Linked DNA regions of Caenorhabditis elegans. Changing the gene in region 1 together with any one later gene gives a genetic interaction. Each region holds a gene or a part of one and is shown in the gene's direction. Other genes may lie near its edges.

What was found. A genetic interaction does not mean that the proteins touch.
Region 2: of lin-25 (region 1) and swsn-3, changing one enhances a phenotype caused by changing the other (phenotypic enhancement), as found in Caenorhabditis elegans (one large-scale study listed by BioGRID).
Region 3: of lin-25 (region 1) and sdc-2, changing one enhances a phenotype caused by changing the other (phenotypic enhancement), as found in Caenorhabditis elegans (one large-scale study listed by BioGRID).

Annotation. Positions count from the first base shown.
Region 1 is NC_003283.11:12,646,568-12,654,261, forward strand, and holds the start of lin-25 (Protein lin-25), read left to right. Parts: upstream 1-3,357; 5' UTR 3,358-3,389; coding exon 3,390-3,422; intron 3,423-3,492; coding exon 3,493-3,607; intron 3,608-3,654; coding exon 3,655-3,737; intron 3,738-3,784; coding exon 3,785-3,894; intron 3,895-3,944; coding exon 3,945-4,032; intron 4,033-7,008; coding exon 7,009-7,665; intron 7,666-7,694. Other genes in the region: F56H9.8 (ShKT domain-containing protein), read left to right, coding at 1-65; gpa-9 (Guanine nucleotide-binding protein alpha-9 subunit), read right to left, coding at 273-335, 379-500, 566-671. UniProt on the Caenorhabditis elegans protein: Participates in the inductive signaling pathway downstream of let-60 Ras and the RAF/MAP kinase cascade to regulate specification and differentiation of many cell types. Positively regulates the fate of vulval precursor cells.
Region 2 is NC_003281.10:2,762,711-2,772,437, reverse strand, and holds swsn-3 (HMG box domain-containing protein), read left to right. Parts: upstream 1-3,758; 5' UTR 3,759-3,772; coding exon 3,773-3,814; intron 3,815-3,866; coding exon 3,867-4,073; intron 4,074-4,118; coding exon 4,119-4,184; intron 4,185-4,233; coding exon 4,234-4,425; intron 4,426-5,196; coding exon 5,197-5,285; intron 5,286-6,104; coding exon 6,105-6,307; intron 6,308-7,570; coding exon 7,571-7,788; 3' UTR 7,789-8,428; downstream 8,429-9,727. Other genes in the region: ATP-dependent RNA helicase laf-1, read left to right, coding at 1,406-1,587.
Region 3 is NC_003284.9:11,518,921-11,526,505, forward strand, and holds the start of sdc-2 (Sex determination and dosage compensation protein sdc-2), read left to right. Parts: upstream 1-3,786; 5' UTR 3,787-3,818; coding exon 3,819-4,937; intron 4,938-4,982; coding exon 4,983-5,218; intron 5,219-5,663; coding exon 5,664-5,882; intron 5,883-5,932; coding exon 5,933-6,086; exon of another isoform or gene 6,087-6,144; coding exon 6,145-6,210; exon of another isoform or gene 6,211-6,253; coding exon 6,254-6,804; exon of another isoform or gene 6,805-6,850; coding exon 6,851-7,185; exon of another isoform or gene 7,186-7,231; coding exon 7,232-7,362; exon of another isoform or gene 7,363-7,503; coding exon 7,504-7,585. Other genes in the region: hpo-34 (ZM domain-containing protein), read right to left, coding at 1-25, 70-97. UniProt on the Caenorhabditis elegans protein: Component of the SDC complex that functions in sex determination and in X chromosome dosage compensation specifically in hermaphrodite (XX) animals.

The DNA of each region.
Region 1 (7,694 bases):
TGTGCGAAAGCAAATATAAAGCCATAATGGAAAAAAGATGCCCGAAAACTTGTGGCGTTTGTTGATAATCGTTGAATAATTTGTACCCTGAACTGATAAATGTTTAGAAAATTTTCATTTTTTTGAACCATTGCTGAAAGTCATACATTGAAATAAAAATTTAATTCCTGGAAAACTACAAGATCCATTTACTGCATGGATTCGATGTTCGAGTATTGCTAATTGAGTTTTTGATACCAAAGAAACCTCAACTATTTTTACTGATGTTTTCTCTAAACTCCCACCATTTTCAAACTTGCAGATATGATTATATCGAACAACATATCAATGACAACCTGAAAAAGATTCTCCAATTTATATTTAAACTTGATAACTCACTTGAATTCTAGCTGTATCCGTGGCACTTGTGACATGCTGATATATTTTCCGATTTTTGTTATTATTGAGAGAAATAAATTGAACTCGAATGTACTCAAGTGCACAATCACGTTCTCGAGGACCTAGAAATCATTTATTAATTAGTTTTAAGATGATAATTGGAAAAAAGGAAATAATTGAATCTAACCTTCGTAGTCTGGAAATGCTACTGTAATGTTGGTGTGAGTGATTTTGATTTCGAAAAGATCAATTTTGTTCAAAAATAGAATAATTGCGGTTGAATGAAAATACATCCCATTGCATATTTCATTAAACAAATGAAGTGATTCTTCTATTCGGCTCTATAACAAATAAATATTTTAATTGTCTCAACTTAAAAAAACACACCACAAAAGCATCTTCTCTCAAAACTTGATTATATTCTGATAGTGAAGTAATAAAAAGAATTGCATGGGAATCGTCTAACACATGACCGCTCAGCTAATTGTGCGTTGGGGAAACACAGCCGAGTTCAAACCAGAGCGTCTAGAGAGAGGAGGCGAAGGTCAAGTGCCGAGCGAGGAAGGATAAAGATAAGCGATGTAACGAGTAACACATTGTATGACTATAAGACTCCTTCATTAATAAACAATTAAGACAATCAATTAGCGGCTGTGGATTGTACCATCAAGTCCAGCGGATGATGAGTGAACTGTTCATGTATTGTTGTTGTCAATCGGTCAATCAACTAGGCAATTGGGTCAGAGGCTGTGCTCTGATCCCAATGCCCGTGATTGCCGATGCAATCAATACTTCGGAGAGAAAACAACTAAATATCAATTAATAAAACGGAAAAGGTAAAGGGGACGACCGCTCAGAAGGAGCGGTTGATAATCGAATGAATGAAACTATTTAGGCCAGCCAATTAGGATGAGCAAGCTGCGCCGCGCCGCGGTCGGCGGCGCGTGCGCGTGGCGAGACCCAGCCGGTTGGCGGCAAATTTGAATGGGAAGGCGCTTAGAAAGATGCTAATCGGGAGAGAATTGCGAGAATAAAGGGAGCATAAAGGTTTTAAGCTACGGCGAACACGATGGAAATGTGTTCGTCGCGCTCAAAGAACTTTGTAATTGAGAGATGGTGGCATAGCCCAGCCCATCTCACAACACATGGGTAATTTTTCGACGTTGAGCACGTTGTCCCCCAATGTCGAAAAAAATGAATCTGTAAATAATTGTTTCCTTCCAAAAACCACAACAAACTGAACAAAGTGTTACTTGAAAGTCAAATGTTTTATATTTGCTTCATATTGTGCAATTCCCAAGGTTGGGACTCTGGTTTTCAATATATCTTCTCCGGTTGGCAAGTATTCTTTTCCAATAACTCTTGCAAGGTTTTCAATGAAACTGGAAATAATAATAATTAGACTGAATAAAACCCAACGTTTAACTTGCTGAATTGTTGAGTCTTCAATATTATAAACAGTTTTATTCCTCAACATCATGGCAACTGTTTCATCTTTTATGTACATCTGGATAGACTTTATAATGTCTTTGCACAAAACATTTTCAGTCTCTCCAGTTTTATTGAACTGTTTCGTAAATATTCGGATTTGATTTAGGCATTCCTATAATGGAAATTAGTTTTGAAACATTTACCGTATTTCCTCTATTAGTTTTGCACCCCTTTGCTCAACTTTCACAGCTCATATCTCAGTAGTCGTTTGTTTTATAAAAAAGTTGTCAACTGATAAAATTTTTGCAAGATGTTTTCTAACGTTTGTAGTTTGTTAATTATTTATATGCTTAAAACAAAACGAGATATGAGTTGTCAAAGTTGAGCAAAGGGGTGCAAAACTAATAGAGGAAATACGGTAATTACTTACAATTGAAGATGGATTTTCGTAAATTAATTGTCTCCACATAATTGCCCAGTGTATCTCATCAATACCTTCCAAGATATTTATATAAATTCCATGTTTTAGAGCTCTTTTTTCTTCAACACTGTATCCTCCACAATGAAGAATTCTCAAAATTTCAATATTACAAACTACCGATAATATATTATCTAATTATTTTGAAAATCAGCTGAGTAGGTGATAATTTTTGGAAGCAACTGAAAAAATGTAGTTTTCATTGAATTTACCTTACTTGCTTGACTATTGTACTTTTTCCTGACTCTCCCGGACCTAAATATAATAAAGGTTACATTTTGATTATGTTTTTTTTTTTAATCAGGTACCTATGATAAGAAGCTTTAAAGCCTTCTTCTTACGTTCCTCGAGTATTTGTGTTTCGATTTTCAAGTTTTCATCTATCTTCAAAAATATATTTTCACTCAAAGTTTTACTTAACCTCCACCTGTTTCTTAAGTTGCTCTCTGCCGAGAACATGATTTTTGGCCGATGAAGAAAATGATGCACCCAGCTTTGAAAGGCTGAAAGTTTTGCCTAGTTTTTTTTTACAATAGTGGCTTTGGGTCTGATAAAAACACTAGTGAAAATTACGAATGAAATAATTTGAGACATGCTCAAGATATTGAAAGTTGTTATTTCCAAGTTTATATATAAACTTAAACTATAGTTTGAGTGCAAAGCACATTTTAGAAAATGTAATGTTTCCATGGTAACTTATAAACAAGTAATTAAAACAAGCTTAAAGTTTTTTTTTGAAAATGAAAAGTGAATGAAGCTGAATTAAATCGTCTTAAGAGATTGTTGGGGTGGCAGTTTGATTATTACATCTGAAAATTGTGTAGAATCATTGAAAATAAATGCCGTCCACGCCCAATTTTTCATTGACTCTGAGAAGTGAAGGAAGACATCCCTCCTATGTCAGAAAATGTACAATGGAAGAGGAATGCATCGTACCTAGTCCCCCAAGTAGTGGGGGACAATAAACACTCGGCCACCTCGCTCTATTGCGTGTCTACGTCTCACATCCATTTATACTATTGCACCGAATATTGGGTTAATGTCGGTGTTTGAATATATTTTGGTTACAGTTTAAATGCTTCAAATTTAAATCAATTAAATCATGAATAGTATCAAAATTGATAGTTCAACAAAAGTGAGTTTTTTTTTAAATAAATTTTTATTTTAATTTCAACAAACTTATTTTGTATTTAATTTTTTTTTAGATAGTTATTGAATATATTGACAAACTCCGCAATTGCTCAAATGAAAAACGACAAAAAGTATCATCAGTCATTCGTCCAGTTGACTTTCCCGGTATCTCAACTCAGCAGCTTTGTGGTTTGTTGCAATTCTTTTTTGTAATTGTATTAATATATTTTATTCAGATATTTTGATTCGGTTTGCTTATAATGGAACATATATCGATGATGTTTTCCGGGACCATCTTCTCAAACTTGTCGTAGATAAGGTACTCTGTAGTTCTTTGTTTTATTCCAAAAAATTATAAATTTACAGTCAATCACCTGGAATCAAGTCATCCACAGTGTGATAAATACAAAAACAGATAGAATTTATTCGAAATGTTTGCAATGCGAATTGATCCGGGAAATGGTCAACTATGTACAGTGAGTTGGCATTTTTAATTGAAAAATTTTGCCAAGTTTATTAATTTCAGAATCAAGTCATTTTCTGATAAATTGCATGCAGATGAGCTTATTTCGATTATGAAGCCGACTGTTTTCTTCCTCGCGCAACTGATACAAGTAAGATTTTTAGTATTTTTAACGAGCGATAAATGTTGTTTAAAGTTAAAAGCTTACATGTTGAAGGTTACCAAAATATATGTTCAAAATTGGCAAATGCTCTTTTACTACCTCATCTTTTACTACGTTGCTCTTTTACTACGGTTTACTCTTTTACTACGGCCGTATTTTTTACTACATTTTCCAATTTCGATTTTTTACTACGAAATGTATCTTTTACTACGGCCGTTTTTTTTACTACGGTTTCCGAATTTGATTTTTTACTACGATTCGTATCTTTTACTACGATTAACGATTTTTTACTACCTAATGAAAAAAAGAATATCAAAAGTTGGAATTTGAAAGTTACCTTGTAGCAGATTTTAGGTATAATTACAATTTCACTCTGAAATCAACATGAAAGTTTCATAGCTGTGTTCTTTTTCCAACTTTTGAAATATACTACTGTCTGAGCGGTTTTTAACTGAATCCGACGATATCAGAACGGGAAAATGAAATTTATGAAAATTTTCCAAACAAAACTATTTTGAAACCTTATTAGGCACTGATCAGTTATTGTAGAAAAATTCTCAATCTGTCGTTTTTGAAAACATTCCTGTCAACTTTGTGATTTGGCATAATAATAAGAAACTCGACAAGTAGGGCTCTATATACCCACATATCTTTTCGGACAGAGGGAATGCGAAAAATTAATCAATCGCAAACTTGTTAAGCTTAAGATAAGGAACACTTTTCCCGTGCAAACTATTTGAAAAAAAATCTGAATGGATCCAGATTCGAACCAGCAATGACTCTACTGAAGAGCGCGCGCTTTACCACTTCTCCAAACAGGCGAGTGGCGGCCGCGGTTCCAAGGAATATGTGAAACCAACCGAGCTGTACGAAGTAAGAAGCTTCCATTACTTTTTCAGATATTTAGTTCTGAAAACTTTGTCAACTCTCCTTATCAACAACTAAATGGTCCTTTTTGTAGTTATTTCTACTGGCAAAAAAGAGTGTGCCTGTAAATAATATCCTGCGTATAAACGTTGTTGTCCAGTGAAAACCTTCCCTTGACTTGAAATTTCTAGAAAATTGTACATGCATGTTGATACGAGATACAGAAATGAAACATTTGAAATTAAATTTTGGGCCTAAAATGTTTTTTCTCAAAAACCACTACAGTTCTTATTTTTCCAAGAGTGTATATAAAAAGTTTATTTTTTAAAATAATTTTTCGTATCAAAATCCCATTTTCCGGCTTCAAACGTAACGTTTTCGTCGTTTTCGTTATTGGCAAATCGAATTCGATCGAAATTGAAAAAATTCCGGAGTACGGTACATGTCGGTGTTTGCGTACTTTTGCGTACCGTGCATTTTATTCGACGACACTTCATATTTTTAAAAAGCAAAATTGACAAAAAAGTGCGTTTGAAACCCAAAAACAGGACATTCCATGCGAAAAATAATTTCGAAAAAATTCAGATTGCATTTATTACTGGAAAAAAACAAGATTGGGGCCGTTTTTCAGAAACAAATTTTGGGCCAATTTTTTTTTGAAAATAGCTTATTCGATGAATCACAGAAGTTCCCGAGCTGCTATTAAGTGGAATTTGTAGAATGTTTAAAAATACACTCAAAAAAAGTAGTTTTCAAGATAAATTTCAAGTCAAGCGAAGGTTTTCACTGGACAACAACGTTTATACGCAGGATATTATTTACAGGCACACTCTTTTTTTCCAGTAGAAATAACTACAAAAAGGACCATTTAGTTGTTGATAAGGAGAGTTGACAAAGTTTTCAGAACTAAATATCTGAAAAAGTAATGGAAGCTTCTTACTTCGTACAGCTCGGTTGGTTTCACATATTCCTTGGAACCGCGGCCGCCACTTGCCTGTTTGGAGAAGTGGTAAAGCGCGCGCTCTTCAGTAGAGTCATTGCTGGTTCGAATCTGGATCCATTCAGATTTTTTTTCAAATAGTTTGCACGGGAAAAGTGTTCCTTATCTTAAGCTTAACAAGTTTGCGATTGATTAATTTTTCGCATTCCCTCTGTCCGAAAAGATATGTGGGTATATAGAGCCCTACTTGTCGAGTTTCTTATTATTATGCCAAATCACAAAGTTGACAGGAATGTTTTCAAAAACGACAGATTGAGAATTTTTCTACAATAACTGATTAGTGCCTAATAAGGTTTCAAAATAGTTTTGTTTGGAAAATTTTCATAAATTTCATTTTCCCGTTCTGATATCGTCGGATTCAGTTAAAAACCGCTCAGACAGTAGTATATTTCAAAAGTTGGAAAAAGAACACAGCTATGAAACTTTCATGTTGATTTCAGAGTGAAATTGTAATTATACCTAAAATCTGCTACAAGGTAACTTTCAAATTCCAACTTTTGATATTCTTTTTTTCATTAGGTAGTAAAAAATCGTTAATCGTAGTAAAAGATACGAATCGTAGTAAAAAATCAAATTCGGAAACCGTAGTAAAAAAAACGACCGTAGTAAAAGATACATTTCGTAGTAAAAAATCGAAATTGGAAAATGTAGTAAAAAATACGGCCGTAGTAAAAGAGTAAACCGTAGTAAAAGAGCAACGTAGTAAAAGATGAGGTAGTAAAAGAGCATTTGCCTTCAAAATTTAGGTTTTATTGGGTGTTGCTTTTTCAATTATTTTCTATTAAAAAATTTAATTTAAAATCTCTCTTAACAAGAATACATAAGAGCGAACCAATAAGATCCTAATTCGCAAAAAAAGAAGAAAAAATGATACCAAAATATTTTACCAAAAACTTTTTCTCGTCGCGAGACCCATATGAATAAATTGTTGCAGCTTGAAGTACGAATTTCAAAAAAAAACATAAAAAATCACAATACAATTTTTTAAAAATCTATTTAAATTTTCTTGAAATATACTAATATTTGGAACCAATAGAATTGTTATTCAAAAAAAAACAACTTATCTTTAAATCCATATTCTTTATTTTTATTTTCAGGATGTTCTTTCTGATGAAGATGAGCTGGAGATGATACAAATTGAGTATGGGGACGTTCGTAAAGCTTACTACAAACCTTTGGAAGCTCTCAGCGCATTCATACACGATGATCTTTGTAGCTCACTTCTAGCATTTTCCGAAGCCTCTGAAATCACTCATCAGCTTGAGCTCTGTCGTGATTCATTCTCAAAACTTCGTTCACCTGACAAATCAGCAACTACATTGGTGGAAATGCTTATCGAAAGACATATTGAAAAATGCAAGCCTGTAAAATTCCAATACATCCCTGAAGGAATCGCTTTGTTCGATTTGAAAAATCCTTCCATTCGCATTTTGATCCCCATTTTTGCTTGCTTCAAAAATCACGAAAGCAGTAAACTGATGGCTGAAACTATTCAAACTTTTGCTGAAATAATGCGATTCTATGGTCCAGATGTGATTTTTGATATTCTTCATGGAGCAATTCTATTGAAATGTGAAGAATCAATGGATTTATTACACTTTCCAAAACAACATCGTGCTGACTTTCGATGGCAATCCACAACATTTTTCTACAAAAAATTACCTCAAATTATTGAATATTTGATTCGAAGTGAAAAACTTACCGTAGCTGAAGTTCAATTTGGATTGGAAAAGGCTTTGACTGATTTGTCAATGGTTAGTTTATATTATATGCTTATTGTAAA
Region 2 (9,727 bases), on another chromosome or scaffold:
GAGAAAAAAACATTTTCCCGCGAAAAAATGGATTTTTACCACTTTTCCGCCGAAAAATATCATTATTTTATTAGATTTTGGCATTAAAGGCGCTCAGAATTATTCAGATGGGTCTCGGTGCGCTTGCCAGAAAAAATTTCAAAAAATCGCTGAAAATTCCGTTTTTTGTGAAATTTTACCAATTTTCATCACTTTTACGTTGTAAGTTGGAAAAATTCCACAAAAAACCGAATTTTCAGTGATTTCTTTGAGATTTCGCGCCGAGACCCTGAATGTCATCATGTCATCAATGAATGTCAAAATCAACATGTGAAATTACCGTATCTGGGGTCTCGACACGAAAAATTTTTGCTGAATATAAAAATGTATGCGCCTTTAAAGAGTACTGTAATTTCATGTTTTCGTTTTGGCCGAATTTTTTTCGATTTTTCACTGTTATTCAGAAAAATCAATAAAAATTCGGCCGAAAAACGAAAATCTGAAATTACAGTACTCTTTAAAGGCGCATACATTTTTGGCGTGTTACAAAAATTTGTCGTGTCGAGACCCTGGACACCGTAATTTCGTGTAAAATTGTGACATTAAAGGCACATGGGTTTATTCAGATGGGTCTCGGTGCGCTAAAATTAAAAAAAATCGCTTTCGGTTTTTTTTGTGGAATTTTACCAATTTTCATCAATTTTACGTGGAAAATTGATGTAAATTAGAAAAATTCCACAAAAAACCGAATTTTCAGTGATTTTTTTTGAGAATTCGCGCCGATACCCTGAATGCGCCTTTAAAGGTCAACATTTTGTGAAATTACTGTACCCGGGGTCTCAACACGACAATTTTTGTTAAACGTCAAAAAGATGCGCGCCTTTAAAGAGTATGGTAGTTTCAAATTTTCGTTTTAGCCGAATTTTTATTGATTTTTCTGAAAAACTATGAAAAATCGATAAAAATTCGACGGAAACGAAAATTTGAAATTACAGTACTCTTTAAAGGCGCACACCGTTTTGGATGGAGCAAAAATTTGTCGTGTCGAGACCCTGGGTACCGTAATTTTACAAACTTTCGACATTAAAGGCGCATGTGAAATTACTGTACCCAGGGTCTCGACACGACAAATTTTTATTACATACAAGAAGGCTTGCGCCTTTAAAGAGTACGGTAGTTTCAAACTTTCGTTCGACCCGAATTTTTTATCGATGTTTCTTAAAACTGAAAAAACGAACATTTGAAAACACAGTACTCTTTAAAGGCGCATATCTTTTTGGCGTTTAACAAAAATTTGTCGTGGCGAGACCCAGGCACAAAATTTTCCGAATTTTTATTGATTTTTCCTAAATAAGTGGCAAAAATCGAAAATTTTAAAAAATCCAAAAAATTTTCCAAAAAAAAAATTTTAACCATCAAATTCCAGGTCGCGATCACCGTTATCAAGGTGGAAGTGGAAACGGCGGAGGCGGCAACGGAGGCGGCGGTGGCTTCGGAGGCGGTGGACAACGTTCCGGTGGAGGCGGTGGATTCCAGTCAGGCGGTGGTGGAGGTCGCCAACAGCAACAACAGCAACGTGCTCAGCCTCAACAGGATTGGTGGAGTTAAATGACTCGCCCATGTCTCTCGCCCACTCATTTTTAATCGTTTTTCCTTTTTCTCCAAAAATTATTCTTTTTTTTTTCATTTTTCCCCCATTTTTTTCTTTCCAAAAATCTTAATGTTTACACCCAATTTAGTATATTTCTTCCCCATTGTTTTTGCTTTAAAAAGTCCCAAAAAACTCAATTTTTCAATTTTCGCCAAAATTTTGTTGCTGAAAACGAAAAATTCCAATTTAATCAATTTTTGAACACAATTTCCAAAAAAAAAAACCGAATTTTTGCGAGAATTTAGATTTTTTTTTTGGAATTTTTGGAAAAAAAAACTGATTTTTCGATTTTTTTCCAAAAAAAAAACCCAATTTTTTGAAATTTGGAAAAATATTCCATTTTTTTAAACAAATTTCAAAAAAAATCATTTTTTTTGTTGAAATTTTTGGAAACTATTTTTCGATTTTTTTGAAAAAAAATCAATTATTCTGAAAAAATTCCAATTTTTTTCAAATTTTTGGAAAATTCCTTTTACAATTTTTGAAAAAAAAATCCAGATTTTTCGAAATTTGGAAAAAGTTCCAATTTTGTGAAATTATTGGAAAAATTCTTTTTTTTTTCCCCCCAAAAAAATGACCAAAATTAAAAGCGATTTTAAATTTCAAAACAAAATCCCAAAAAACCAAATTTTGCGAGATTTTCGATTTTTTAAAGCAAAATTCCCATACCCCCACCCCCCCCCCCCCTCTCCTTAAGCAGTTTGTTGTAACTGCTCGTCGCTAAAAAAAAGTGGTGTGTGCCTCGAAAAAGTCCCCCCACCCCCACTACTTTTCCTACGTGTGTGTGTCGCGTTGTCCACGTTGTTTTGTGCTGCAGCTCCCGAAAAAATTGAAAATTTGCCTATCTTTGTTGGCTCTTCCCGTACGGCTCCTGGTTTCCTCTATGAGGCATAACCAGGCAGGCGATTACGGTGGCGCTATAAGGCAAATATCAAATGCATCACCCTCTCAACTTGTTGGTATTTGAACTTTAATTGTGACAATTTTTAAATATATAGGATATTTTATTAATTCAAATTCAAAATTTCTTTTTAGGTAGTAACTTATTTGTTGATTTTTCGTTCGTTCGTTTTTCCTGTGAAAAGTTCTCGAAAACTACTCATAATTATTATGATAATGTCCTATAGAGTGATAATATTCTCTCAATTGTCATCATTTCTCTCAGATTTCTTCTCCCCCACCTGTGACACACACTGTTTGAAAATGTGCTCTATTGTTTTTCAGTGGCTCATCTTTTTGTTGTAAGCACATCCCCCCGAAGGTATCGAATCTCGTGTGCAACGTTCACAAGTTCTCGATCTGTAGCGACGGGTTTCCACAGACATCTTCTTAATTTTGACCCCTTTTTTTTTGGCTTTTTCTAGGTATTCCCCCCCGATTTTCCCTCCTTTCTCTATTTTTTTTTCGAAAAAAACTATTTAATAATCATATTGGATGAATAAATTAAAACAAAAAATTTAGTGTACTCTTTGGCGCACCTACCATCATCGCCGCGGTGGCCGAATTGCAAAAACTAGGCCATTCAATATTCGCGCCAAAAAACAACACTTTTTCGGCGCGAAATTTAAATTTTAATACACAAAAAATGTTTTTTTTTGCAAAAAAAATTCAGTTGATGCAAACTTTTTCAGAAATTTGAATTTTTCTGCCAATTTTAATAGTTTTCCTCAGTCTTTCATTGGATTTTCATTTGATCGATGTTTTCTGAAAGTTTTCCTAATTTTCTTGTAATTTTCAGCTTCCAATCGAGTTTTTATTAAATCCAGAACAGAAAAATACAGTAAAATCGGCGAAAAGTACAAGCTTTTTGACGTCGGCGCTCCTTTTTGGCTTGCCATTCCTGGAAAATTAATGAAATTTCGCTTTTTCAGCAATTTTCATGTTTTTTGATGTTTTTTTCCTTTTTTTTTGGCTTTTTCTCCAAAATAATAATTAAAAAAAAACCACGTGCGGCACTCTTGCAAAAACCACGTGCCAGGCTTGCCAAACAAAACCACACCTACAATGAGCAAGCGCGCCCCACTGGACATTGAGGGGATTTTCAAATTAAATCGATTTTTTTGTATTTTCTTGGTGTTTCTTCTGGGTTTTCCAGTCGAATTTCTGTTTAGTTTTTGAAAATTTAATATTTCAGATTGAAAAATGTCATCTTTCCGTCATCCGCAAGCCACACCGGCGAGAAATGTGAGTTTTCACGCAAGAATTTGGTTTTAAATTCAAAAAATCACCAATTCAGTTCCAAGATATGTCATCGCGTGGTCCAAAAGTACCAGAAAGACCACTTCAACCCTACATGCGATACAGTCGGAAGATGTGGCCAAAAGTTCGCGCCGAGAATCCAGAAGCCCAGCTTTGGGATATTGGAAAAATGATTGGAAAGTATTGGTTGGACCTTCCGGACGGTGAAAAATCGCATTATCAACATGAATATGAGCTTGAAAAAGTTAAAATCAACGAGAAATTCCCGTAAAAAATGATTATTTTTCAGGCAGACTACGAAAAACAAATGAAACATTTCCAAGGAAACGGAATTTCCAATTTTATGATTAATAAAGTGACTTTTTTCAGCCGAAAAATACATTTTTAAATACATTTTCTTCCAGGGACGCGCGAAGAACAACGAAAAAATGTCGAGAAGCCGAATGGACGCTGGCGGAGTTGTAATTCAACCGGTTGACGAGGATGACGGTGGCAATGAATTGAGCACCCGACGTCTTGCGGGTGTCAGATTTGAACGAAATAATCGATTGATTAGTGATTTGTTCTCGCCGAGCATCGTTACTGATACAAGAACTGTAAGGGATTCTGGAAATCCTGAAAAATTGGGTTTTTGCACAAAAAATGCTCATTTTGACTTGAAAATACTGAAAAAGCTGGGAAAAATCCATTAAAGCGAGCATTTCAGCAACAAAATCGTAAAAACTGAATTTTTAAACGAAAATCGTTAAAAATTGCTTATTTTTAGCAAAAATCTCAGAGAATTGGATTTTTTGCACACAAAATGCTAATTTTGACTTGAAAACACTGAAAAAGCTGGGAAGAAGCGAGAAAAATCCATTAAAACGAGAATTTGAGCTACGAAAATTCGGAAAATTTTGATTTTTCGAATGAAAATTAAATTTTTCAGACAAAAACCGTTTGAAAAGTGGATTTTTTACGCGAAAGTCACAAAAAATTTAATTTTTGAGCAAAAATTGCTCATTTTAACTTGAAAATACTGACAAAGCTGGAAAAAGCGAGAGAAATCCATTTAATTGAGCATTTGAGTCGTGAAATTCGTTAAAAAACTGAATTTTTTCAATGAAAATCGTTAAAAAGTGGATTTTTCGAAGGGAATTTGAATTTTTCAGGCAATAATCGTTTTAAAAAATCTGATTTTTTCGATAGAAGATCGTGAAAAAACTGGATTTTTTGAGCAAAAATCTCGGAAAACTAGGATTTTCAAAGAAAAATCGCTTAAAACTATGAATTTTCAAGAAAAAATCACAAAAAACTGCATTTTTTTGCTCAAAAAGCTCAAATTTCTCTATTTTTCTCCAGAATTTTCAATTTTTCCCAATTTTCAGGTAGTTCCACACCACCGAATGGAGATGTTGAAGCGACAGGCGACATCTCTTGGTACTCATCAGAGCAAACTTGAAGAAGAGCTCACAAAGTAAAAATTGATACAATTTCACTATGAAAATGCTGTAAAAATCGATTTTTTGCCCAATTTTTCACGGAATTTGAGCAGTTTTTGATCTTAAAATTGAAATTTTCAGCAAAAAATCAAATTTTACATGTGCAAAATGTGTAATTTTTCAGTTTTCGGAGATATTTTGGAGTAAAAACCGAAAAAATGTTATTTTTTGGATTAAATAATCGATTTTTTATCGTAAAAATCGAAATAATTTATTTTTTTCAAAAAAAAAAGCGAAAACTTGAATTTTTTAGCCGAAAATTCTGAAAATTCTAATAGCAAGAAAAATTGAATTTTTAAGCTTAAAAATCCGAAAATTCTTCAAAAATTCGAATTTTTAAGCCTAAAAATCTAAAATTTCTTCAAAAAAATCAAATTTTTTTCCTAAAATCTGAAATTCCTAAAAAAAACATTTTTTAGTCTAAAAATCTGAAATTTCTTTTAAAAAATTGGATTTTTTAAGCTTAAAATCTGAAATTTCGAGTTAAAAAATTCAAAAAAATTATCTAAATCTAAAAATCGAATTTTTAGGCCTAAAATCTGAAATTTCTGAAAAATACGAATTTTTGAGCCTAAAATCTGAAATTTCTTAAAAATTCAATTTTTTAGTCTAAAAATTTGAAATTTCTAAAAAAAATAATTTTTTTAAGCTTAAAAATCTAAAATTTCTAAAAGATTACATTTTTTAAGCTTTAAAATCTGAAATTTCGAGTTAAAAATTCAAATAAATTTCAAAAAATTATCTAAAAATTATCTTTAAAAATCGATTTTTTTCCCAAATTATCCATCTTTCAGACTGGAAAGAGCCCATGACAATCGAAAAAGAGCCATCGAAAAGGGCAGTGACGACTTCCAAGAGCAATTGAAGAAAGCTGTTAGTGAAAAACCAGTTGTAGATGAGGAAAAGTTTGAGGAAACTGTTAAAGAATGGGAGGAGAAGCTTGCGACAGCTTATGAAGAATATAAGAAGAAACAGGAAACTACAGCAACTCAAAATGGTGAATATATAGAGAAAAAACACGCTGAAAATTCGATTTTATTGAGAGATTTTGGAAGAATTTTATCTTAAAAAATGGCAAATTTCCAGTGAAAATCTGAAAAAAAAAACAGTTTTTTTTTTCTAATTTTTTAGACCAAAATTGTCAAAAATTCCAATAAAAACCCCTGTGGGGACAATTGTTAGGCTAAAAGTGAAAAAAAACCTTCATTGGCAGAAAATGTGTCCCCCTTGCACAGGGTTTTTAATTGAAAATTTGAAATTTATTGAAACATCAACTCAAAATTGTGAATATCTGCAAAAAACACGCTGAAAAATTCGATTTTATTGAGATTTTTGAAGAATGTTAGCTCAAATATCGCAAATTTCCGGTGAAAATGTGAAAAAAACGTTGTTTTTTTTCGAATTTTTAGGCCAAAATTGTCAAAAATTCCAATAAAAACCCCTGTGGGGACAATTTTTAGGCTAAAATTGAAAAAAAAAACCGCTTCGATGGTTGGGAATGTGTCCCCACAGGGGTTTTTATTGAAGTTTTTGGCTGTTGTGGTTAAAAATTCTATTAAATACCCCTGTGGGGACACATTTTCAGCCTCTGAACCGTTTTTTTTTAATTTTTAGCCCAAAATTTGTAGAAAGTTCCAATAAAAACACCTGCAGGGACACATTTTCTGCCATTTTTGCGCTAAAAACAGTCCAATGCCAGAAAATGTGTCCCCACAGGGGTTTTTATTAGAATTTTGACAATTTTGGTTAAAAATCCCAATAAAAAACCCCTGCAGGGACTCATTTTCAACCATTGAGGCTTTTTTTTTCATTTTTAGACCAAAGTTGTCGAAAATTTCTATAAAAACCCCCTGTGGGGACACATTTTCCAGCAATTTTTGTGCTAAAAATTAAAAAAAAAACGGTTCAATGGCAGAAAATATGTCCCCGCAGGGGGTTTTATTGAAATTTTAACAATTTCGGTACAAAATTCCAATAAAACCCCCTGCGGGGACACATTTTCAGCCTCTGAACCGTTTTTTTTTAAATTTTTAGCCCAAAAATGTCATAAATTTCGGCAAAAAACCCCTACGGGGGCACATTTTCTGCGAATTTTTGTGTAAAAAATGTGTCCCCGCCGGGGGTTTTTATTGGAATTTTTAACCAAATTTTCAAAATTTTCAATAAAAAACCCCTGCGGGGACACGCAGCATTCTTATCAAAAAGTGATCAATCATCATTGTGCTGTGTGCTAATCATTTATTTTTTCCAATTTTTTCAGCGAATTCAGCGCCACTGTTAAGAAATTTGGTAATGGAGGAGACACCGAAGACGCCGGAGCAAGAAAAAGAGCAAAATGTCAAGGAGAAGCCGGCGGAGAGCACAGAAACACCAGCTGCTGGCACAGAGCCAAGTACAGATGATGGAGCAATTGAAACTACTACCACTACTACTACTACTGAAAATAAGGAAAAGCCGGAAGAAAAAATGGAAGAATAAATGGTCGCCCGGGAAATTTAAATTCACCAACAAAAATCTTTAATTTATTACTTTTTTACCCTATTTTTTAATTTTCCGCCTCTGAAAAACACCACCTTTTTACCCGTAAAATGGGCGGAGCCTAACAGACCACGCCCACAAAATGGGCGGGGCTTTATGTATTTTTTTAAACGCAAAATATCTCATTATATTTCGAAAAAAAATTAAATTTCGCAGAAAAAAATTCCCCAAAAAATTGAAAAAAAAATGGTTAGGCCACGCCCACAAAATGGACGAGGCTTTATTTTGATCTCAAAATTATTCTGAAAAAATTCAAAAAAAAAATCCGCGATTGTCTATTTTGTGGGCGTGGCTTCTTAGCTTTTTCGCTTTTTTTAAATTTAAAAAAAAATAAAACCGAAAAAGTTAAGCTCCGCCCATTTCTGGCCATTTTTCGAAAAAAAAATTGTGTTTTTTTTCGAATTTCCCTCTTCCAATATCCTCTTTTCACCAATTTTCACACAGAATCTCTCGATTTTTGTTATGTATTTTATTCATTTCCTCCTATATTTTTTATTTATTCATTTATTGTTCTTATCAAATTATCAACAATACACATTCATATATATATATATATATATATATATATATATGTATTTTAAAAAATTGTCGAAAAATCGGGAAAATTTTTAAATTTTTGAAGAGAAAAACAAAAAAAAACAATTTTTCCGAAAAAGTGAAATGTTCGAAAAAATGGGCGGGGCTTGGTAGACCACGCCCACAAAATGGCTGACCATTTTATGGCCGTGGCCTATTGAGTCCCGCCCACGTTTTGCATTGAAATTTCAAAAAAAAAATTTTTTTTCGTTAATTTTTGTTTAAAAAACTAGAAAAAAATCAACAAAAAACTAATTTTAAAAAATTAGATTTCGTAGAAAACAAATTCCCAAAAATTTGAAAAACAGAAAGCCACGAAATGGGCTGAGCTTAATTTTTATCTAAATATGTTTTAAAAAATCCCAAAAATCGCAGATTTCAGGCTTCTGCCTCTTTCCTAAAACCCCCATCTTGCCTCATACACGCGTTTTCGGTGTTCAAAAAATGTTCAAAAAATGTCCGAAAAAATGTAATACAATTTTGAACGTTTATATCTCGGCTCTCACGGAACCGATTTTTGAAATTCTTTTTTCTCTACATTCACAAAATATAGCGACGTGTGTTCATCTAAAAGGGGGTTGATTTGGGAGCATCCTGTCGGCTCCACAAGCGGAAAACCACACCCCTCTTGTTTTTGCGCACACCGAAGTACTGGTCGAAAACCACTTTAAATTGAAGGAAAATTCGAGTTTATGTTCAAAACGTTTGAGACTCGAAACTTAAGTTCTCCTTTTCAATACCTATCCACTGTATCTAAGTTCATTGTGATATCTCTATTCTTTATTTTAAAAACGATAATTAAAGTTTTGCCAAAATTTCTGCACCTCCCCCCTTTTCTCACACACACACACCCACCTCCCCTTTTCATATTTGGTGTGTTTTCACCATTGTTTCGGTCAAATCTCCGTTAGTCTTGCTCACTTCTTTCAAACAATTTACATTTTTCCATAAAATTCACAAACTTTCCACTATCGTTCCGGTTTTTACGTTAAATTTAGAATTTATAGAATGATTTAAAATGAAATCTCAAATCACAGCTCGATCCGATCACTTTTCGCGGAGATAGGGTATTTAATTTTTGCACATGGAAATCCAGTTTTCCTCTGTTCCTGGACAAGTTTTCAACTATCCTTTCGATTTTATGTTTTAATTTTGATAATTTTCATTGAAGCAAGGTAGAAAAACTAAATTTGGTCGGTCTTGACAACTTTCAGCACATTTGTGGAAGTTTCGAGCTTCCAGGCCTTCCCAGAAGGTGATATGTTTCAATTTTTGTTATTTTTTAAAATAATAACCGCCGTAT
Region 3 (7,585 bases), on another chromosome or scaffold:
GCAGAAAAGACTTGGTCCATCAAACCTTTTTAAAACTGGAATTGGGAAATGTGTTAATGTCATACTTACTATCACTGGCATTCCTAGTCTCCATCATTTTTTCTTCGGTTCTTTTTTCCAATCCACGAACAATAGGTAACCTAAAATAGCTGAGAATTAAATTTGAAAAGGTTGTTAGATCATTATTATTATTATTATTGTTGCGAAAAAAAGTAAAACGCGAAGATTGGTTTCAAAAAGCAGTCGGGCTCTTAACTCTGCTACAAACGGCAAACACGGCGCCGATGATAACTGCCATTTGATGTAAGATGATAAACCACGACGACAAGGGGAAAGTGAGGGTAGAGAACAATTTCGAAACGACCGGTATGATAGTATGTGACACGCAGCACACTTTTTGGAGCACGTTTAATTTTGATAAACGCAGAGAAATTTATAAATGATTCTTTGCCGGACACATTACATGATAGCATAATAATTTTTTGTGACTTATTGGGGGACTTCCATTTAGACACGCTTAGAACATGAGAACATATTTTAATGTCAGAAAAGGAAACATAAGTTCAAAATTAAACTAAAATTATGGGAGAGAAATGGGTCTATATTCCAACTGAATTCCATGCTGTTTGAAGCAAGCGTTTTATAGTTTTTTAACCTGTCAGTGTTCCAGTTGGGAGGTAACAAGCATTGCACTTGCAGTGGAAATTATAGCAGATGATATTTGCTAAAGTGACAAAGAGAAAAAGAATGTCGATGTTTTTAATGTTTACAGTCTGCCAGTACCCGAAAATATTTGCTCTGAAAGGACGTTAAGTCATCTGAACGAATACAGTTTTTTTCATACATCTGAATTTATTTCAAGACACAAGAAAACATCTTATTAAATGCTCAATTACAAATATGATGAAATCCTACATTTTAGTTAAACGCACATTCTAATTTTGATAAACACTATATTTCCCGAGAAAACGACAATGACAAATTAAAGATAAAAATTTAATTTTAAATCAAAAACTTATCCAAAATGTTTCTGTTAGTGTGATATGTTTTATTTGACTGGAAACTGAAGCTTGACTAACAAAATTGTCATGTTGAGACAAGTAAAAGTTTTCTATACATTTAAAATTATATAATTATTTAGATATCATTTGTAATTTGTATAACACATTATTACATTGCAAAACTAGTAAGTAAGAATTTTTAAGAGTTGCAAAAAATAATCAGACACAAAATGATACATTTTTAAAGTTACAATTCCAAACAGTGAAAAACGCAGAAACGGACTATGACTTTGTGATGCCATACCCAAAAAATTCGAGAATTGGATATAATGGATATGTTTGAAAAATAATGTTCAAATCTTCGAATATCCTACCGAATTTGAGTTATAACGAAAATTAATGTTTTGTTGGTCGGCATCGAACTTTTCCTTGCAATCCTGTGAACACTCGGGAAATTAGTTTTTCGTGCCATAATAGAATACGGCTGAAATTGGTTTAATAAAACATTAATGGCAAATTTTTCAACATATCATTTATTTTTTGTTTCAGATACAGTTAAACATATTTACTGATTTTTATTTTCGGGCCATTTTTATTTTTCTACAGTCTGCGTTTCATCTAATAGTTCCATAATCTGTCCATTTCTACAGCAACATGCACAATTTTTGTTCAACTGTGAATAAAAATAGAGGAAACAAATCTTTCGTCAATCTCTATGCTTGGTTGTATAATCTTCGTGCGCTGACAATGTTGCCATGGAAATTTATCTTTCTCCGTCTCTCTTGAAAAAATAATGTTTTAAGCCAAAAGTGTTTTTAAATAATTAATTAAAATCATCTATGAAACCAAAAACAGGTCTTTCAACTCTTAAGATGGTCGTCTTTATCAAAAAAGTGTCTGGAAATGGCAATGTGTATTTGGTATTTGTAAGTAAAACGCCAACCGTAGGAAAAGGGTTTAAATCATTTCCTGATAGTTCTGAAATATTTGAATATCACAAAAAAAGTAGAACAAGCTGAAATTGTTACTAATTTGGATATTGGAAAAAAGTTTTCACGATTTTGTAATTTTTTTTAGCATGGCACAAAAATTTTATAACTTTCGAAAAAATGGAGCTCCTAGTGCTCCTAGTGTAGCATTTACACATTATTGGCAATTTTTAACGGAAACCTCGAAAGGCAAAAAAAACTATTACAAATTGAAGCATTTTCAATATGGATGTTTTTCTTTTGAAATGGTTTAGAAGGCAGCTTTCACAATTTTCAAAAATTTAAGGCATTTCGGTTATAATAATGTGTTGTTCACATAATGTCTCTGGCGCATCTCTACTTGTAAGATCTATTAGTTTTGTATCACTGATAGCCCTGCACTCAAAACGACCCATAAAAATAGTATTGCATGAAAGTTATATTATTATTAAAATGCACTACTTAAACTGTTTTACTTATAGTTTGATTTTAAAAAATTCCTGCTGTTGGAACATGGTCTTTGAACAACCTATTATTAAAAAATATAACATATATTCGATGGATCAGTTAAAATTGTTCAAAATTATTTGTTACACATACCCATTATGTATTCCCATTGATAGTATGCATCTTCCATTTCTCCCGTCAACATAATTGTTCATAAATTTTTCTAAATATCGACTCATGCACAGTTTCTACGCGACTCAACCCCGTTTTGTATGACGTAAAAATCATCGATTGTCCAGCCGGCTGTTTAGATGACCGTTGGTCATCACTGCATAGCGCAACGCAAAACGGCAGAGGTCAGAGCTGCGGTAACGACGCGCTGTTCACGGCATTATAGAATTTGGCACATTCGAAGATGAAGACAATCTGCAGTTATTGTACATATACTTATTAATTTGACTTTTCCTCTTATCGGATTAGATGCCTGAGCCCTTTCGATAATTATACCTAAATCACTTGTTTATTCTGTACCTTACTTTAGTTTCATTTTTATTAATATTGATGTTATTTTGCGTAGGAGTTTTTGCTGAATGTTTGTATGAAACTTCTTTCAACATATGTGTGATATTTTCCTTTTTTCCTCTAGCTTCACACTTTTACTTTCGAATCGAAAGTATACGACATTTGTACAAGGTTAAACTTTACGCAGAGTTTCTTATCAGAATTGCGCGTGACATTGACGTTTATACAAAGCTAGAAAAACTTTAGTTAAATTATTTATCCTAAACATATTTTAAATTTATTTTATCCATATAACTTTAAACGCAGCCTCCGCTTTCTTATTGAGTCTCCATGCCCCTGTCACAGTTGTGTATCCTTGTTCTCTCTACTCTCTCGTTTTCCACACAGGTTCAGTCGATGTCTCTTGGGTCTTCTCCTTTTTTCCCACTCATTCCTATCTATCGTTTCTTTGCGCTCTCCACCATGGCTCTCTCCATCCAGTTCGCAACATATTAAACAGAAAATGGAGACTTAGAGAAAACAGGACTGGTGAAACCAAGACAAAGTAGGGAATAGTTCACAAAGGTTAAGGCATTTGAATTCTAAATTACCAATAAGTATCAATTTTTGTTTTTGACTACTTTTCTAGATTCTGTTATTTTAGGCTTCAATCTCTTCATTATTTTCAAAAAAATTTTTTTTCAATCTCTTCACTATTTTCAAAATTAATTCTTTCAAAACTTTTTTTTTGTTGAAAAAATTCAAAAAGCTTACCATAACACATTTAATTTTAATTTTATTTTTCTGCGACAGCCCGTTGTCTAAAAATTTTTTCAAGAACCTTTCGTTATTTTCACTAATATATTATTTTTCAGAATCGTGATTTTCTCTTCCGGTACTTATGAGTGATGAATCAGAACTAGGAAATCAAAGTGAAATGGAGTCATTCAACGAGTCCGATTCTCCAGATGAAGCTGATCCAGACGTTGTTATCATCCATGACATAGTTCATCTACGTGCAAGTACTACAGGCGACTATAGTCAATCAGAAATTGGGAAACTTCCCGAGCAAAACACGTTTTTCTTACCTGGAAGAGTTAAACGCAACATTTCATCAAACGACTCTGATGTCATTATTGACGAGGATGAGATACCAGACGGAGCAATCAGAATTACTTCAGATACTCATTTCATTGGATCAAGTAGAGGTACTAGTGAACTCGGAGATTTCGAGATGGATGAACAGGAATTTTTGAATATAACAATAGAAGAAAATGGAAACGAACAGGAATTAGAAGAACACTTGCGCAACGCATACCGTCATGAAGAAGAAGAGTGTTTTGAAGAAGAAGACGATATAATTGAACTTCCTCCTCTACCTGTAAAGCCAGCTGTAAAGAAACCTCGAAGAAAACTGCCAAAACATCTGAGTATAGAGAGTGGATCCACCGCAAAAACATCAAAACTGGTAGCAGAAGTTGTTCACGATCACCCAAGACCTGTCAATTATCGCATGAAGCCAGCTGTAACTGATGATGGTAAAGTAGTTGAACAGAAACGGACTCGAGTGACACGTAACATTATGTCACACACAATTCCGCAGTATCATTTGGAAGGTGAAGAAACTGAGTTTGGAAGAGTGAAAGAATCTACTTTATCAAAAACGATCGAACAGTATCTCCAAGCTGGCAAACTTGTTTCCCCAAAGTGCGACCAGTTTCGTGAACAAATTGTAGCAACTGCGGTTGAATACGATGGATCTGTGAAAATGTTGCAGTTTGAAAATGCATTGAAGAAACATTCCGGCAAGCAAAAACGCCTAAAATATCAAACCGGGTGGTGGAAAGCTTCTAAGAGTCATTACGAGAGAGCAGTGAACGGTTATGTTGCAATGCCAAAAACCCCAGTATTATCAATTTCTGATGATCCAGTTCTCTACAAACACCATTCACTATTTCCCAAGAACCAATCTTCAGAACTTGAAAAAATTAATGTTCAACTGCGTATTCGTTTAAACTCGGTAAGTAGTCAATTATTTATCTGAACATCTCAATTCTTATTACAGAAACGGCAAAACAATGATGTTATCCCCGACTCATCTTATTTTGTCAGAGAGTTCCTCATGCAGAAGCATTCAATTTCGCTTCGTATGAACCGTTCATCGGATCTTCCTGAACTCTTCGTCCCTCCAACTTTGGAATGTGGATATTTTCCACAAGATGCCGTTACAGTTCAACAGCAAGAGCACTACTTGATGATGCGTTTTGAAGAAGCTCAAGACGAATATCATAATATAACCTAGTAAGTTGAGCTTCTAAAAATATAGTTTTTATTTGAACAAGACGAGAACAAAATTATTCGAACATTTGAATTGAGACTGATAAATAACTGAAACACACACAAATGTAGCTTTAAGCTGCAATTTTTTTTACATTTTCTATGGCAACGCGTGGCTTCTTTCTCTTTAATTTTGTTTCTATTCTGAAACCGTTTAAAGATGAAGTACGCTCAGTTGAGAAATTATGAACACCTTTTCTATGGTAGTTAAAAATCCAAATATCATAAAACCTTCTAAAAAATTTTGGAAATTTATTTATTTCGAGTCGGAAAGTGATGAAAACTGAGTTTGCGACAAGTTTTAAAAACTCTAAAGCGCTATCGCTTGCTCAAAGTTTTATAAATATTGTTTTCATCTAAAAACAATCAGAAATATCATCAGAAATATATTTATAAAATTTATTTTCAGCCGCAGCATCGCCCCTCCCGTTGAATTTCAAGTTGGAACAATATCGGCTAAAGAGCTTCACAAATTTCATCGTATTGGCCGTCATATTCATGGATTCTTTGTAGTCTGGGAGAATAAGTTTCCTGAATATGATGAAAGTGGAATATGCTGTCCGAGAAAACGTTATTTGGTCGATATGTTTAATTTAATATGTTTCCCACTTTACACGGAATACGAACAGTAAGTTTTTTGAATCAAAGTTTTGTACGTTTAAATTTGAAATTTTGCAGGTGGGAAAGTAGACTAAGAGTCGCATTTGACAAGACCATTGTTTATAATCTACATCTTTCTGAGATACTTCGATGCAATCGCCCGGTTTTCGATTTTCTTTCAAAGAACAAATCAATGCTCCAACCAATCACTCTAAAAGAAATTGTTTATCTTGTAAGTTTTAAAAGTTACAAATTGCAATTTTTATTATAAAAAGTGTGTTCCATTTCAGATCGAGCAGTCAAACATGGATGCAAAATCTTTTGCTGTAAAGTTTGGATTACGGACCTTTTACGATGTAAGCCACAAACGTCAAACTGTACCTTATTATTTTCTTTCAGCACGGTCGAGCAACCAGTAATAAAGACTATCTATCAGCTTTTCTAATTATTACCGGTGGAGCAAAAGTCGTCACAGAAGAAATCGATTCTGAGCGTCTAAGAGTTTTCAATTCGGATTACATGGAATCGGGAGTTCTGACGTCATCGGGAGATGTGTACACATTTGAATTTGACAAAATACCAAACAACTATCAAATTTCCATTGGTTGCAATGCTGATGGAGTGGCTGAAATGGAACAAGAAGATGTCAGGCATGAGCTATCAGAATGTTCTTCTAGAATAACCAGAATAATTGGTGATTCAAAAAAACCAGAAAAAATTATTGCAAGGCCCCTGGTAAAAACAAACCAAAATGACGGAATGAAGTTCTTTACACGGAAAGATTTACTTAATTACCGCATTAAACTGTACGATCCAAGTTACGTTGTTCCACGTGCGAAAAAACAAATTGTCAACGAGCCTGCAAAGAAAAAGCCTGGAAGAAAATCGAAGACAAGATATGATGCAGCAATGCAACAAAACAATTTCGAAATTGAGGGTGTACCTTCCGAGTATGTTTATCCATTGCTCAAAAATTGCCTTATGAAATTTTTTCAGCGTCGACTCCGAATTTGAAGGATATTTAAGTGACAGTGAAAACGTATTCCAGAAGCCGTCAAAGTTAATGCGATCAACGTCATCTGATTCAGTTTTCATTGACTACCAGTACCGTGAAAAAATGTTCCTTGATGTTTCATGGTTCCATCAACAAAAAATGATTGATCGCTCTCTACCGCCACTCAAAAAGAGGAAAAGAAAGATGAATAGAATATACCATAAACATTCCGTTCGATACACAATGTTACAAGCAAACGGCTGCGCGTTTACAGAAATGTACAGATGCTATGATAAAATATTGCCGTGTGGAACTAAGGAAATTGCGCGAACCAAAAGTGAGATTGACTTGTTTGAAATAATCAATAACTAATAATTTTGCAGATGCAATTCGCTTCCCTCACAGATTCCGAACCTACAATATTCCACAAGTCTATGGGCCAGGGGACAAACAACTGATTACCGAAGTATTTGGTGTTGTGAAAGATGTTATCACCCGTGCTACAGGTTTTGAGGTAAGATACTTTTGTTTTCTTTAAATGCGTGATAAGAAAGGTAAGGAATTTTGTTTTAATTAGTAAATTAAAATCTAAAAGTCAAATACGTCATAGGCAAAACGTTGTTAATACATATCAACTGAATAAGTATTCTTTCAGAGTGCAAGCATACGGACCGCCAATGACATTGCACAAGCTGTATATGACGCTAATATTGCTCGCCGAGAACTACTGGAGAACC